Regions from separate parts of the Mus musculus genome. Here all the other regions are reported to be linked to region 1. Evidence: microRNA targets listed by miRTarBase, many of them from high-throughput screens and not tested one by one. Region 1 holds a microRNA gene; each other region holds the end of a gene's coding sequence.
What was found. The annotated mature microRNA mmu-miR-216a-5p reads UAAUCUCAGCUGGCAACUGUGA and lies in region 1 at 2,943-2,964, opposite strand. An mRNA with a match to its seed (bases 2 to 7 or 8) in the 3' UTR can be bound and repressed. Matches are read on the target gene's strand: a 7mer-m8 pairs with bases 2 to 8, a 7mer-A1 pairs with bases 2 to 7 and ends in A, and an 8mer does both.

Region 1 (4,166 bases):
TCCTGGCCTAGAGGTGGGGTTTGATGTGAATAACATCCAGAGCCTCAGTGAGGTTGGGGCCATGGTTAAGCAGCAACCAGGGGCTAGAGAATTACTATCATACAACTGGTTACTCTGGGCAGAAAGAGAACTTAGCCTCAAATCGGAGGCATTATTAGATCCAAGGCCTGAAGAGTGTCTGTGGCTTAGTTAAGAGTTGGGAGTCAAAGACAGGTGAATTTCTGAGTTCGAGGCTAGCCTGGTCTACAGAGTGAGTTCCAGGACAGCCAGGGCTACACAGAGAAACCCTGTCTCAAAAAAAAAAAACAAAACAAAACAAAAGAGAGAGAGAGAGAGAGAGAGAGAGAGAGAGAGAGAGAGAGCCTTTACTTTGTCTTGAATAACTTCCACATCATGGGTGGAGAGAGAGAAACTCAAACCATGCTGTTGGTGCAGTGATGAGCTAGAATAGTGAGGGCTTATTCCCAGAATTTCTAATAAGTTCTCAGACAGTGAGCAATGCAGACCCTTGTCTCCAGTACCTCATTGAACTTCAATGTGCTGAGTACTGGCTTGAATGAACCAAACCTTACAATATTTGGAGAGTTTCACAGAAAGAAGTGCCAAATCACTCACATATTTTGATGGCAATTAATCTCAGAATTCAGTTCTAGAATTATGAAACTTACAAAAGGTTGGGTGCCATTGTTATTGGCATTTTTCTTTTGTTTTTTGTTTTTGTTTTTAACAAGGGGTCTCTGATAAGTTGATCTACAGGAGTTAGGGCTCTTGATCAGTTGGCTTTATATTCATAAAGTTACAAGGAAGTTATTGAAATTCACCATGTTTGTGTTTCTTTAGAGTTTACAAATTATTAGGTGCCAAGAAAAGCCTCTTTAATTAAATTCTATCACAAATATGCTACTTTCAGTGAAAGCCTCTGATTGCTTCTCAAGTCACTCACGCTGAAACCCAGCATCCTCATCAATCCCCATCCCCACCTATCTTCTTCAGTCTCATTTCTTGAGTATTTTTTTCCATTTCAACTCACTGGACCCCAACTTTCTTGTGCCCAGACTCAGTGATCCTTGTTTCAGATTGCACATTTGAATTCCTCGGGTGTCTCTTTTATAGTGGTGTGCGGACCCTCTTTCCAGGCACTCTGATCAAGGCTACATGTGGTAGACCTCTGTGTGCAGACAGTGCTGCAGACATCTAAAACAGCAATGATACACCAGTGATACTGACACACTAGAAAATGCTGATGCTGACACTCAGGCCATAGCAACTGTTTTGAAAAGTTATTTATCCCATTGAACTACACCCATCTTCTTTTCTTTGTGAAAATGTTAGCAAGAACAGCAATTCTTTTTGTTTTTTTTGTTTTTATTTATTTATTTATGTTAGATATTTTCTTTATATACATTTCAAATGCTATCCCAAAAGTTCCCTATCCCCTCCCCCTGCCCTACTCCCCTACACACCCACTCCTGCTTCTTGGCCCTGGCATTCCCCTGTACTGGGGCATATAAAGTTTGCAATACCAAGGGTCCTCTCTTCCCAGTGATGGCCGACTAGGCCATCTTCTGCTACATATGCAGCTAGAGACACGAGCTCTGGGGGTACTGGTTAATTCATATTGTTGAAGAACAGCAATTCTTTAACATTTTTTTTTGTGGGGAAGGGTTATTTTAACTAGTATGATTATATATTATTTGGAAAATGTTGGCACTTTACAAAAGTCTAATGACACTGCAGATTTTAAATATGAAAGGTCTTTATACAATAGGTAAGTTACATTATCACTTAGAGTTTAGAGTTCACTCTTTGAAAATAACTAGTTCTTCTACTGACTACTTTCTATTCATCCTTATATGTTGCAAAAATTATAGGTCATATTAATTTGTTTTGATACATAAATGTAACTTAATCAGGTTGAGGCATACCGGCTTCTTTTTCTGTGGGCATTCAAGAAAAATATATGCCACTCAAAACTTCTGAAACATTCTTAATAATTTTTGAAATAAAAGTTGATCATATCCTTAACTACAAATTTGTTTCATTTGATTTGTTTGATGTTAGTGGATTAATAAAGAGAACTGGTCTTGAATCTCAACCTTGAAAATTTTTTTCACTTTTATGTTATTAAAGTATGTTTATTTATATAGATATTTATGTACATGTTTATGTGTATGCACATGAATATGTGGTTATTCATGCACATGTGATTTTATGTGTCAAAGTTAGGTGTCCTCTTCATTTATTCTTGGTCTTATTTTTTTGAAATAGGATCTCTCACTGAGCTGAAGCTCACCAATTCAGCTAAGCTAGCTGACCATTGAGGCTCAATGCTTTTGCCAAGTGAAGGGATTCATATCTGTTTTGAGGACCAACAAGGATTAGAGTTGGACAGAGGCTCAAGCATCTTATGTAAGTCTCAGTCTGCTCTGCAGTTTGTCCGTAACTAGTATTCATCAGGACTGTTGAATGTAAGGCATTTATAGAGAATTAGGAAGGGGGATTAAATGTATTCTGAAGAGCTGAGGTCACAGGAGGTCCTCAAGGAATGCCTAGATTGATTACCTAGAATTTGATGGACAAGTATCCACAAAGGAAGTGGAAGGGGCTTTCACAGAGAAAGGACTTTGTGTTCAGCTTCTGAAATCGCCACATTGTTGCTGAATTTTAAAGTGAAATATAAAACAACAAATAACACAGCAAGTGCATTATAAGTAGAAGTGAATTCCAGCTAGTTTCTTTTCCAGACAAAGAAACATTTTAGAAAAGCATCAGTAAGATTTAGAAGAGGTTGAGGACAGACAGTAACTCTCATAGGTCTGCATGAAATTCAATTTTGGTGTTCTGATTCAGGTTGTCATGATCATCTTTGGGTCCACAAGGTCAAGGAAATTGCTCTGTTTAGCATAATCCCAGAGACCACTGTGAGGAATGATAGGGACATCTCACAGTTGCCAGCTGAGATTAAACCAACTCATAGCCATCCAGGTTGGACCTGCAAGAAAATTCTTGTGATCAGAGGTGCTTGGAGGCTCTAGGTAGAACTGTGTCTGTTTCCTGAATGTACAAGGTAATGACCTGGTGCTAAAATCACATGGAGTTCTCTGAACTTTTCTTGATGAGACTGAACAAACTATTGCTGAACTAAAATTTATTTTCACAGGTTTCTGGTATAGATAGTCTTGTATGTTATATCATAAAAGCATCTTTGTATTAAGAAAGGATTTCCATGACTTAATGTTTATACAAACACTATCAAGTGTGAATAGACACCAATGTCTCTAAAACCACTTACCCAAGAGACATTCTAAAACAAGATCTATAAAGAATTTAGAAATGCAAAAACTCAAAAGCTTCCTCAGACAAGGGAACTAGCAATTACATAAGTCAAAGCAAAGAATGACTTCACCGATGGTCAGGTGTGACAAGGGACATCTGGCTTGTGGTTAGGGATTTCTGTGTCCTCCTTGTTTGCTTATGCTATGTTATTATGGCTCAGTGAGATTGGGCCATGAGCTGCAGCTCCTTTTAGCTCAGTGGACGAGGCTGATCAATGGTAGACATAATGATCAAAAAAGAACACGAGAGGGAATAGCTTCAGAGAGTCTCCACCATTTGGTTTGGATAGCATAAGAGGAGAACATTACAAATAAGACCCACTTAGAGATTTTGATTCAGTGTTTCTGGTTGGGGGATCTGGTTTGTACTTTGGTAGGAATTCTCCCTGCCTTTCTCACTAGCTTGCTTTCAAACCAGACCATTTGTTTTCTCCCACCCAGTCACCTCCATCCAAAACAAAATCCTCAAAATGCCCAGAATCTGAAGGTCTGTGTTCTGTCTTTGGTCCACCTGGGATATTTTTCTCTTCTTCTCTCCTTGCTTTAGCCTATACTTGGGCAGCTGTGCAGAGGACATACAACGAAAAATGCCAGGCACTGATTTCTCTCTCTGGTCTCTTTTGCTGGCCATCCCTTTGAGTTTGTAATTTCTATTTCTGCACTTGTTAAACACAGTGATCTTTTCTGACTTACACATTATCAGGCTGTGAACTTCTATATGGGGAAGGTATGTACATACCTTTTTAAATGTTCAAACTCTCAGCATTGATATACCTGACTTTTAATAAACATTAAGTAAAAAATGGGTTGAAGTAAATAAAACATCTGTTG
Region 2 (4,166 bases), not on the chromosome of region 1:
TAGGAGCCTGATGTTTCATTTACTGAGTGCCTTTCTTCTGTGGATACCTTTGTGTGGTGTGAGTTCCTGTCTATGCACTTACATGTGTGGGAGTGCACCTGTAAGGGAGGTTCCCATGGACATATGTATGTATGTAGTGTGTGTGTATGTAGTGTGTGTGTATGTAGTGTGTGTGTGTGTATGTGTAGGCACAGACTTAAAATTAATGTTAGGCATCTTCCTCTATTGTTCCCCACTTATTTATTGAGGCAGGGCCTCTCACTGAAGCTACCGATCACCAATTATGGCTGCTCTAACTAGCCAGCTTGCCCTGGTGGTCCCTCACTTCTGCCTCCTGGGTTGGATTACAGGCAGACCACCATGCCTGTCTAGCATTTCCATGGATTCTGGGGATCCAAACCTCAGACCTCATGCTTGCACAGCAAACATTTTATCCATTAAGCGGTCTCCTCAGCTCCTTCCTCTTCAGTGTTTTCAATATCTATCAATATAACCTTCTTGTACAGTCTGAGATGCTAATAAATGTGTAAGCAGTTTCCTTCATAACATCAAAATACCTTAGCATTGCCAGGTTATGTGTAATATTAAAAAAATACCTTTGTGTGCTTGGTGTAGACCGGCATACAAAGAGCATGTCTGGCCTTCTGTTGGGTTGTAAACACTGAGAATTATTTGCACATTTCACACTTCCATTTATGGCGCTAAATAGAGCTGGGAGGTGGGTGTATCGACTTTGGGGGTTCTAGAATTAGGATGATGTTAGCGTTAGAAATCTTCTTACCTTTTTTCTGTGTACCAGAGCAATGTCTGTACCATTAAAATGCTTTGTTGAACTTTTAAGAATTCAGGTGTGGCTTAACCATCGATCCACAGCCATATTGTAGTACAATGCTCTATGGATTCCTTGCTTAATGATCTTTAATATTTTGTGCTTTTGCTGATTTAGTGCTAGTGGTATGCATTACCTAAGGGGAAAAAAGTGCCATTTGTAGATTTTTTTCCCTAATAAAAGCGTATGGGTTTGAATTTTGTTATTATTTTATTTTGTTCTAGTATGGGGGTATTTGGTCTGCTTATAAGTCTGTACCCTTCACACATTCCCAGGTCCCACAAAAGCAGAAAGAGGGCATTGTATCACCCACAGTGGAGTTACAGGTAGTTGTGAGCTTTCATGTGAGTGCTGAGAGCTGAACCCAGGTCCCCTGAAAGAGCAGTGAGTCCTCTAAACCACCAGCTCCCCAGCCCAAGTTCTGAAGAGTTTTAAAACAAATTAATGAACATACTGGTTATTTTAGTTGTGAATAGTGATTTTTATTTTATTTGTTTTTTTTTTTTTTTTAAAAAACAAGATCTCATGGCCAGGCCTTTGATCGCAGCACTTAAGAAGCAAAGGCCAAGCAGAGGCCAGCCTGGTACACAGTGAGTTCTAAGACAACCGGAGCTCTATAGTGAGGTCCTGTCTTGGGAGGAAAAAAAAATCTCACTCTGTAGCAAAGGCTAACCTGGAACTTGAGGTCCTCTGGCCCAGCCTCCCAAATACCAGCACACTGAGCTATAGTGCTTTTCTTACATATTTAACACAGTTTTAGCTGCGGGATCACAGTGGCACAAAACTGTGGTCCAGCTACTGTGGAGGTTGGGGCAGAGGGATCGCTGGTTGGGTAACATAGCAAAAGTCAAGGGAAAAAAAGAAAAATATATATACATATATATATATACACACACACAAATATATAGCTTTCCTCTTTTCTCACACCATTTTCCCATTACTTATTAATTTACTTTACATCCTGATCGAGAGCTTCTCTCCCCCCCCCCAGTTCCTCCCTTTCCTCTCCCCTCCCCACCCCCAGCCCCTTCCCCTTCTTCTCAGAAGAGGGGACACCTCACATGGATATCAGCCAGGCTTGGCACGCTGAGCTGCAGTGAGCTGAGGTGCAGTTAGGGGAGGGGGAATCCAAAGGACGGCAATGAGGTCAGAGACGGCCCCTGCTCCTGCTTTAGGAGTCCCACGTGAAGACCCAGCTGCACATCTGTTACATATGCCCCACACCATTTTTGTTATCTCTGTTTTCCTTAGAATGTTTCAGAGACTTTTGCCCATTGTTCACATGTTTATTTCGAACCAGTTGTCGAATATTATTTATTTTATTTTCAGTGTACTTTAAACATCTTTATTTCCTCTTATCTCTTTCCCCCTCTAAGGGCTTCTCACCTAGCAACATTTCACCATCATCTCACAGGGTTAATACTTCATTGATATAGAGTGTAACACTATGGAACTAACATAGGACAAACCTAGACTAAAGGAAGAGACTGCCCGTTTTCTTATCTAAAGAGACTAGGGTGAAGGTGGGGACAGCCTAACTTGATGGGTTCCTGAGATAATCTGCAGAGGAAGCTGCCCAAAACAGACAACCCTTCTTCAGCCTCTGAACTCCAAAAGCCAGGGCTACTGCCACACAGTACATGACACAGACCCTGTGCTAAGTTCTGCGGGCTGAAAGACAGCTTGCTCGGCATGTTTCCAGACTAAAACGGGGCATAAGGGGAGAGCCTACTGAGGGGCCAGGAAGTAGCTTTGAGCCAGACACACGACACATTTATTTTTAAATAACAAATAAATGGCAAAAGAAATACAGGGAAGACAACATTCATGAATCCAAGTTACTAAAGTGCTTTCAAACATAAATTCAAAAAGACCAAGAAGTTGGGTCTGACCTTCAGACAGTCTCCAGATATTTAACAATTGCTTAAACATGGCTCCAGGTGACTTCAGAGAAGGAGGGGCTTGTGGCTTTCTTTGTTGTTTATACCTCGAATATTCAAGGCCCATCAAGTGACTGAGAACACAAAATTATCACCTATCACAAAGACAGAGATGTCCTAGACCCAGCTCAAGGAATGGTAATATAGCAGTCATTCATTCATTCATTCATTCACTCCTCTGAAGCCTAGAGATGGTATAACAATTATATTCACACTTGTAACCCAGCACTAGAGAGACTGAGGCAGGAGATCATGAAAATGAAGCGAGCCTGGGCTGCACAGCAAGAACCCATTTCAACCAAAACCAAACCAAATATTCTAACTTAGAGTGAGGAGGTCAGACCAGCCCTCTTTAATGACTGAACCACATCTTAAATAATGCTAGGGAGTAATAATCTCTCTCTCTCTCTCTCTCTCTCTCTCTCTCTCTGGGATGCTCTTGAACATCTGATCTCTTGTCTCCGCCCCCTGAGTGCTGGGATTGCAGGTGCGTGCTACTGTATCTGGTTTGAGTGGTGCCGGGTATTGAATCCAGGCCTTCTTGTGTACTATTAACTAAGCGACGTCATACCCCATCCCTAAAATTTTCTTTGAACTTCAAACCTTCCATGTTCAGATTCCACTAAGGAAAAACAAGATTTTAGACCAAACTGACTGGCTTGAGAGGTGGTATGAATGTTCCCCACTCTAGAACTAAAGGGAACTTTCCCTACGTCATTGTTTATTCAGTGTTGTAGTGTTGCTTTTTATCCAGACATTTCAGAGAGAAAATCAAACTGAAGGTGTTTGTCCAGCTTTGGGGGACGCAATCTGTCAGTCTCATGAGGCTCCCACCTGTGGGGGCTGGGGCAGCTGAGTACTGGACCCTGGGGGCATTTTCTTAGTCTCCTGCCTGGAAGAGCTGGACAGGTCAATGGCCACATCCTCCAAGCTATTCTCAGGGTTCTGGGTTGTTTCGTCTGGCCCCCTCTCAGGTCCATCCTCATCCTTATTAGCACCCTTTTTGAGATGGTCAAACTCCCAGAGTCCTGCCAACTTGTCTTCACTTTCTGGTTTTCTCATCCCTGTGGACTTTTTATGCATCCCTGGAAAACAAAAAGGAAAGCCAACAACAATAAAAATTTTGTTTTGTTTTGAGACAGGGTCTTTCTATGTTGTCCTGACTGTCCTGGATCTTGCTATGTACCCCAGGCTCACCTCAAATGCACAGGGACCTCGGACACATCAAAGGCATGTGCCACCACACCAGGCTCAAAAATATTTTTAAATTCAGCAGTTAGGTACATTCCTTCTTGATCGCTGTTCTTTCAGTCTGTCTAAAATGTTCTTCCCAGTGTTCCTCTGGGGCCGAGAGGAGAGCGACCAGGTAGCTAACTCCCAATATTAGAGTTTGAAAA
Region 3 (4,166 bases), not on the chromosome of region 1:
TCATTGGCTGCTAGTTCAATGCCACATGCCACGTACCAGGTCAGCTTCCTTGCTCTAGAGGAGGCCAAGGTCCTCAGGTTTTCCCATCATGAAAGCAGGCCCACAGCCTGGTGGCCTGGTGGCTAGGACACTCAAACATTGACACTCTTCCCAGAGTCCTGCCCATAGTTTTAACTCCACCCTCCATCGTTAGGAATTTTGACCTGTGCCCAAGTCCTTGGCTAGGTACTGACCATACCTTGTTATCTCTTCCACAGAGTCTCAGAACCTGCCAAAGCAGCCTCCTTTGATGCTCGCCCTGGGCCAGGCATCTGAATGTCTACGGCTCATGGCCCGAGCAGGCCTGGGATCTTGCTCCTTTGCCAGAGTCGATGACTACTTGCACTAGCAGACCTTCCTGGCTGGCTCTGGCTGGCCCTCCTTCAGCCCTAGGGCTGGAGCAGCCCTGTCCTCCGTAGGCATCTGGTACAGAGACCTGGAAGCCATGGGCAGAGTTCACTCTTCCTACCTGGCCGGTCCATCCTCCTTTTCTCCTTCCCTTCCTCCCTCCCTCCCTTGTCCTCTCCTCCCTGTCCCCTTCCACGTGCAGCGACCTGTGACTCAGTATTGGCTGGTTACTCATGTGGTAGCTTCTCCTTTAAAGGAGATTTTGTTTTGAGGAGAGGTTGGTTTTTTTTTGTTTTTGATCTTGTGTTTTTTTTTTTTAACTTTTTTTTCCTCCTGACTGAGCCACCAGTGTTTATCTCGGGAGAGTTTGTGCTGAGCTGGTGTCTGCTAACTTAGTAATGAAGCCTATCCAGGTTGATGATAGCTTATTATTTTCATAAGTAAAAAAACAAACAAATGAGATTATATATATATATATATATAAATATATATTAAAAAAAAAGTCACAGTATTTATCGTAGCACTAGTGGTCCAGCACCTCTTGGGTGAGGCTGTCCAGACACCATGTGTTTTTATTTGAGTCCAACTCATTAAAAAAGAATCATCTCTTGTCACTTCAATCAAGTGATTTGTTTATTTTAGGCTCCCCTTTTGTTGAGCCTCAGGTTCAGCTGCTGCCCAGGAAATATGGGTTTTGGGGAAGGCTGTTTGGTGGGCAAGGTCAGACTAAGCTGTTTTGCAGCATCCCAAGAGGTGTGGGTCTCTAGGCCCCCTATAGGTAAACAAAAGAACTGCAGGTTCAGGGATTCAGGGAAGTGAGGTGGGCCAGGGGCACACAGCAAAGCAAGGGAACACAGGGTCCGTAGCCAGCATGCTGTCTACCACTCTACCCTGCCTCTCACTGCCTGCCTTGCCCCTCTCTCCCATCTCAATGCCTGCCTTCCCTTGTTAAGATGGCCAAATAATTCATTACTCTCAGTTGATTGCCTGGAAACTACCTGCCTTCATCCCAAGAGCTGCTGTGTGCCAGGCTGCCAAGAGGAAGCCATTCCCAAGACAGAGGCCCTTAAGGACAGGGCTCTTTTCTTCCTGCCAGAGTCTTCACCATCACTGCCCAACCCTGATGGGATTGATGCTTTCTGTGGAGAAGTTGGTACCTCATGGAGACTGATTCTTGGATCACTGGTCCCAGAGTGGATGGAACCCTTGACTTCCTGATCCGGATTTCCCTACAGCTTAAGGAAGGCTGCTCCCTACAGCGTGGCCCCAGCGACTCTTAGGAAGGGGGGACTCCATGGGCCTTACATATGTCCCACCAGCTGTTTCACAGGATCCTCACAGCTGGCGGGACAACAGCAACAACAAAACCCACTATCCCAGGGCTGAGATGCTGCCAGGACATGAGTAGGCCATCTGTGGAGGGGACTGTCTACCAAGGAAGAGGAGGGTCTATACAGAGGACACCTAGGAGGGCCAGGATTTTACCTGCTTCACAGGGTGAGTGAAAAGCCTAGGCAACCTCTGCAAAGATTAGGGTCAACTGTGGCAAAGCCACAAGTGAGTTTCCAGTCTCCAAGTGCATCTGGGCAGGGGAAGCTTTTGTTCTGCTGGTGGACACAGAAATCAATGGCAGAGCTCGAGATGTTCTGTGCCCACCAGTCCTCACAAGGCCCACAGCTGGACAAAATTGAATTAGACCATCTGTCAGTGAGGAAGTAGGGCCTTGACTGAGATCCTCCAAAATTTTGCTTTAGGGTCTAATCCTACAGGCTACTATGTTTTCCTGGTTCCTGTCAGGGCCTTAGTTTACAGCTCCTCAGGAGGTCTTGTCCTATGTAAAGGAAATTTCATCCTGTCCAAGGCTGGGACACCCAAGCTCCAAGCTCAGGTTGGAAATATCAGGCTGTTAACAATGGATGGGCCTTACATTTGGAAATGAAAACCAGAGGCATTTGCAGAGCAGTGGAACTTAGAGAACCTCTCCACCAGTCCTCTCCTTTTACAGTGAAAGAAACAGGTCCAGGAAATTAAGTGATTTGACCAAAGCCACACAGCAAATAGTGGCAGAACCAGGACTAACTACTCCTGTGGGTTAGACAAGTCCTGTCGTGACCTAAAGCAAAATGGCAAATGAGCTTTGTAAGGGGTTAGGTTGGCGTGAGTTCAGCAGTGCCTGAGCAGCTGGCACCTTTCGTGGTGTGACGGGTAGGGATGGGTGCTGAGACGTGGATTGCGGAGTGGCTGAGAGGGCCTTGGACGGCTTGGGACTGCTGTGTGCTGCACGGGATTGTATGTCCACCTGGCTCACACTCAGTACCCATGGCCACCTCCCCATTTAATTCTGTGCCTTATCTCACTGTTTCAGCTGAGTCCAAGTTGTTTACTCTGTTCCTCTCCAGAGAGGCTTTCTGTCCTAGTTGGACAGCTCACTTTGGGGACATAAGCCTTTGTTCCACAAGCTGTGGGGAGGGCCAAAATCAAGCTGCTGGAGCCAGTAATTAGTCCAGTCCTGCTGCCAGAGGAGACCTGTATGCACCCCCAATTCCACTAGCCCATTTCCAGGAATCTGGAGTGAGGAGCAGTTCCTGGAAGCAACTTAGCAAAGAGCTGGACCTGACCCTGGTGTGCAAAAGGAGGACCTGGCCGGGTTGGGTTTGTCCAGTCCTGAGGTAGCAGCATTTCCTAGCTCACTTTCCCTAGGAGGCACAGATGGCAGCTCCTTGCAGAGCAAGGGCCAAGTTGGCGGATGACTCAGAGTCCCTCTCCCCCAATCCCTTCCTCTGAGGGTCTGTGGCTAGGTGCAGACTGGGTGCAGAACATCACAAACTAAAGAAGTAAGGACTGCCTGGCTACCCAGCACCTTCCCAGTCCTTAAGCACAAAGATGAGGCAGAGGACTGTTGGGGCTGAACGTTCCTTTGGTTGCTCACAACTCAGGTATGCATGTCATTCGGCAGCTGGACAGCAAAGCCCTACTTCACCACCAATCACAGGCATTTGGACCTGTGGCCAGATGGTGGCTTCTGGCTGTCCCAGTGCCCACCTCTTTGCATCGGTTCCCTCCATTATCAACTACAGCTGAAACTGGCATCCTCCACAGTGTGCACACTGGCTCTGCCTTTGTCCTTGCAAGTTGATATTCGGCATTAGCATGAAACTTGTGGTGTGAGAGGGTTGACAGAATTCCAACACAAACATCCTAGTAAATTGTACTTGAGATGAAAAGATTCCTGTTGTATTTTGACAGAATTATTTTTATTAAAATACACATCCATGAGCAATTGTGTCTGTTGTTCAGAATCTTACTGGAGTTGGGGTTGGGAGGCCCTACCTCTTGGTACCTCGGGGACTTTTGAAATGTCAACTTTCAACTTTACAAGACTCCAAAAGGGACAGGGACTTGAGCTGTTCTCGATTGAAATTGTTCTCAGACATGGAAAAAACAAACTCAACTTCAGAAATGTGGGCTATTGCTGGGCGTGATGGCGCATGCCTTTGATCCCAGCACTCGGGAGGCAGAGGCAGGCGTATTTCTGAGTTCGAGGCCAGCCTGGTCTACAGAGTGAGTTCCAGGACAGCCAGGGCTACACAGAGAAACCCTGTCTCAAAAACAAAAACAAAAAAAAAAAACAAAAAAAAAAAAACAAAAAACAAAACAAAAAAAGAAATGTGGGCTATCAATTGTGTCTTCTTTTCCTTCAAAGATGAAATAGGGCTCAGTCTCAACTGATGGATGCCACAAATCTGCCACCTAAGGCTCTATCTAGGGTCATAGTGGAA
Region 4 (4,166 bases), not on the chromosome of region 1:
TAGTAATGTATGCTGGCTACATCATGCTGTACTTGGCAGACCATTTGTATTAGTCAGGGTTCTCTAGAGTCACAGAACTTACGGAATATCTCTCTATATTAAGGGAATTTATTGAGATGACTTACAGTCTGCAGTCCAACTAACCCAACAATGAGCAGCTGTGAATGTGAGGTCCAAAAGTAGTAGTTGTTCAGTCCCATGAGGCTGGTCTTCTGTAGAATTGGTTCCAACAGGTGTGCTGTCAAGTAAGTGAAGAGGTGAGTCTTCCTTCTTCCAATGTCCTTACGTAGGTCTCCAGCAGGAGGTGAGGCCCAGGTTAAAGGTGTGTCCCACCATGCCTAGACTTGGAACTTGCTTTGTCTGAGGCTGACCTTAAACTCAGAAATCTCCTTGCCTCAGTCTCCTAGAATTAAAGACATGTACTACCTTGCCTGGGCCTAAGCTTTTCATGGCCACTGCTTCAAGATCTCCAGGTCAAGATATAGGTCAGAAACCTGTGTCTTCCATTCTCAAGGTCTGGATCATAGGTGTGCCCTCCATTTCTGGATCATAGATCATTCTAGATAGAGTCAAGTTGACAACCAGGGATAGCCATGACACCATTCAAACACATCTCGATCGAGCCTCATCCTGTGAGGTCTGCTGGAAAGGCAGGTTAGGTAACTGCTTCATGAAGGTTAAAAGATGGCTTGAACTCATAGCTATGGGATCGCTGAGGTGAATTCAAACTTGGATTTTTTTTTTTTTGTGGTCTCAGACCTACACTACTTTTTTAGAACAAGAATGCTGAGCCGGGCGTGGTGGCGCACACCTTTAATCCCAGCACCCAGGAGGCAGAGGCAGGCAGATTTCTGAGTTCGAGGCCAGCCTGGTCTACAAAGTGAGTTCCAGGACAGTCAGGGCTATACAGAGAAACCCTGTCTCGAAAAAACAAAAGAACAAAAAACAAACAAATAAAAAGGAATGCCAACAGCCATCTAGTGTGTTGGGTCCCAAGGGTAGAGCTGCATTAACAAGACACGGGGGTTACACAGCCAAGTCAGCCAACGCACACTTTATTCAAAGTGTCAGCTTCTTTTAAAGGCAGAGCAGAATAGAGATTTCCCAGTGTCCAGTTCTCACCAGGTACTGTTCCCTTAACAATAGCTTATCTGGGTTCAGTGACCCAAACCCCTTACAGACTGAGAAATCTGCCAGCAGTCCAACGTTTTTTGATGTGTTGTGTCTTATAATTAAAAACAAAGTTACTTTCTCATGAGAAAAGGATCATGAAGGCCACTTCCTCAGACATGTCGCTTACTTGGCAGACATCAGGATTCTCTGAAGAGGAAGTATGTTCACTCTTTGCCCCAGTATGCTGGGATTCCCAGATATCCTTCAGTCACCTCAGAGCTAGCAGGCTGGGAGCATTCATCCCATGCCATTCCTCTACACAAGAGTGTTACTTCCGTGGGGCCCCAGGAATAGAATCAACTACTTCCTCCTTTCAGCCTCACCACTTAGGGTCTGGATACTTGGTCCAGATTCACTCAAGTGAACATACACACACACCACACATACAAGATTGTGATTTCAGGACCAAGAGTCGTGTTCCCCCACCCGCTACCCAAGAATTATCTTCTGTACTGGCTGGTTTTGTGTTTCAACTTGACACAGACTGGAGTTATCACACAGAAAGGAGCCTCCCTTGAGGAAATGCCTCTATGAGATCCAGCTGTAAGGCGTTTTCTCAGTTAGTGTTCAAGGAGAGAGGGCCCAGCCCATTGTGGGTGTTGCCATCCCTGGGCGGGTGCTCCTGGGTTCTATAAGAAAGCAAGCTGAGCAGGCAAGGAGAAGCAAGCCAGTGAGCAGCACCCCTCCATGGCTTCTGCATCAGCTCCTGCCTCCAAGTCCCTGCCCTGTGTGAATGAGTTCCTGTCCTGACTTCTTTTGGTGATGAACAGCAATGTGGAAGTGTTAGTCAGTCTCTGCAGCTTAGGCTAGCCTTGTCTTGGGATCCTTCTACCTCAGCCTGCTGGATGCTTGTACTACACAGATTGTACCACCATGCCTGGCTCATGATAACATTTCCATCCATGTCTGTAATATGATTTGATCACACTGATGCTTCCATTACTCTCTCACCCTCCTCCCCATGTCCCATGACTCCCGTCCTCTTTAATTTCATTGAATAGTCCTCCTCCTTTTATGTCTTCAGTATATACACAGGTTCTGCATGAGAGAGAGAAAGATGGTATTTTCCAGATATGGCTTATTTTGTTTTAAAATACAGATGGTCTCAGGGATTTTCATATCCTCCTTGTGTAGAGACCATGCTAATCTTTGGTTCAATTTTAGTATCTCTACTGCCAGAGTACGGCCTCCTTAACACACAGTGGGTTGAATAAACAGTAATGACACCATGTCTGTAAAGCTCTGAGAAGCAGCACAGAATCAGCCAAGAGTAACTAATAAAAAGGGCCTGGGGCATCTTTAATCCCAGCACTCAGGAAGCAGAAGCAGGAAGATCTCTGTGAGTCCAAGGCCAGTCAGATATACATATCAAATCCAGGCAAGCCACAGAGTGAGACCCAGTCTCAAAAAAGGGAAGCAAGAAAAAAAAAAGCGAATGCCCAGATCCCAAGATGAGTTAGAAAACAGAAGCACCGATTATGCTGAAAGACTTTTTAAGATGTACTTAGTCTGTTTTAGCAATAAAAGAATGAAAAGATTACCATGTCTTCTGTTTAATAAAGTTTTTATTATAAAACAACCATGTTAGGAAAGCCACAAAAGTTGAAGTAAACATTTAAGTAAAAACTAAATAAACATGCCAAGAGCTATGATTCTAAAAAACCCTAATAAATGTACTTGGCTAAATCCATATCCAAGACACAAATTTACTTTGCCACTTAACAAAAAATGAAGCAGAATGCCCTTCATTTTCAATGTATTTTTAAATGTTTGCACATTGTATTCCTGCAGGCAGCTGCAGTATAATCAAGTATATAAACAAAAATCATTTCCTTTCAGGTTGAATGAACAAGTCACATAGAAATGTGCAATATACTCCAGGACAGCCAGGGCTGTTACACAGACACACTGTCCAAAACAACAACAACAAAATCTCAATATAAATGTTTAAGAAAACACCAATGTTATATAGGTAATATAATTCATTACAAATTACTTTTCTTCATTAAAACTATCTGCTTTAAACACAAGAGGGGTGTGAGGCCCTCTGTGGTGCTAGCATCCATTACCAGGTTACACGGATGCAGTCTAGGGACAGGGCGGAGAATGGGCCACATCTCCAATGCCACTGGTGGAAACGGACCATGTACCAAGTGCTGATCTCCATCTCGTCTCTTTAGTTAGTGGGAAGTGAAGCATCTATCTTCCCCACGGCTTCATCCCGGAAGAGCAGCTTTCGGAATATATTTGCATAAAATGGTCCATACACCTGTTTGTTGAGATTCACAATGTTTGCATACTGGCAGCCAAGCACTTCCAGCTCCCGCTGGATGACATCAAGGCCACCTGGCACAGGAGGCATGCTCTTCTGAGTGCTTGGAAGACAGAGCAGGCCTTTCATGTACAACTGGATCCGTTTATCTAAAGGGGAAAAAATGATATCTTTACTGGTTCCGTTATTGAAGTACATAACCTTTAATAATCAGCAGTAAGGTTTCCATTTACCCCTGCCTGTATTCAAGTGGCATTACAGTTCCTCCCATTAAGGATTAAGAGTACTTTGTCATCTGTCACATCTGAACTGGCTTTGTGACCTGTTTTTGCTAATGTATAATGTTATGGAAATGCCAGGATGGCAGCTGCATGCCTAAGCCTCAGGACGCATGGCTGACATCCACTTCCTGACCATCACCCATGCAAATGAGGCTGCAAGGGCTGGAGGATGAGACCAGAGAGAGGAAGCCAGCTCTCCCAGCTCTAAGGAGAGCCTTGTAGGTGAGCCACTTCCCAGGCTCCTGATAGAGCCCAGCCAAGATCCACGGGGCTACCAACATAAGCCACAACTAACCACAGGTCTGACGAGGCACAGACCTTCTTAGCTGCTCTACAGACAGAAATAAATAAAGCTCAGGCTACAGAGTGGTAACTTATACAATGAGAGATGGTTGATTCAAAAAAAGAAAGAGTGCTTTTCTGAGCTTCAATCTTCTACA

Region 2: the mRNA of Vsx1 is a reported target of mmu-miR-216a-5p. Seed matches in the 3' UTR shown: 7mer-A1 at 3,162-3,168 and 7mer-m8 at 1,477-1,483.
Region 3: miRTarBase lists Ranbp10 as a target of mmu-miR-216a-5p. Seed matches in the 3' UTR shown: 8mer at 845-852.
Region 4: the mRNA of Tcp11l2 is a reported target of mmu-miR-216a-5p. Seed matches in the 3' UTR shown: 7mer-m8 at 3,104-3,110.

The regions. Positions count from the first base shown.
Region 1 is chr11:28,755,816-28,759,981 of GRCm38, reverse strand. It overlaps Mir216a (microRNA 216a), which reads right to left and starts at 2,970; the gene lies at 2,899-2,970. All of the region lies in intron 1 of Gm40818 (a long non-coding RNA gene), which reads right to left.
Region 2 is chr2:150,679,413-150,683,578 of GRCm38, forward strand. It overlaps Vsx1 (visual system homeobox 1), which reads right to left. Exons shown (of 5, transcript NM_054068.2): 5 at 1,290-3,854. The coding sequence ends at 3,589. Among named protein-coding and RNA genes, the nearest start is that of Vsx1, 7.6 kb to the right of the region's middle.
Region 3 is chr8:105,767,809-105,771,974 of GRCm38, reverse strand. It overlaps Ranbp10 (RAN binding protein 10), which reads left to right. Exons shown (of 14, transcript NM_145824.5): 14 at 258-3,667. The coding sequence ends at 388. Among named protein-coding and RNA genes, the nearest start is that of Gfod2, 11 kb to the right of the region's middle.
Region 4 is chr10:84,612,910-84,617,075 of GRCm38, reverse strand. Tcp11l2 (t-complex 11 (mouse) like 2) reads right to left here. Exons shown (of 10, transcript NM_146008.2): 10 at 2,721-3,594. The coding sequence ends at 3,350. It also overlaps the pseudogene Gm25657. Among named protein-coding and RNA genes, the nearest start is that of Polr3b, 7.3 kb to the left of the region's middle.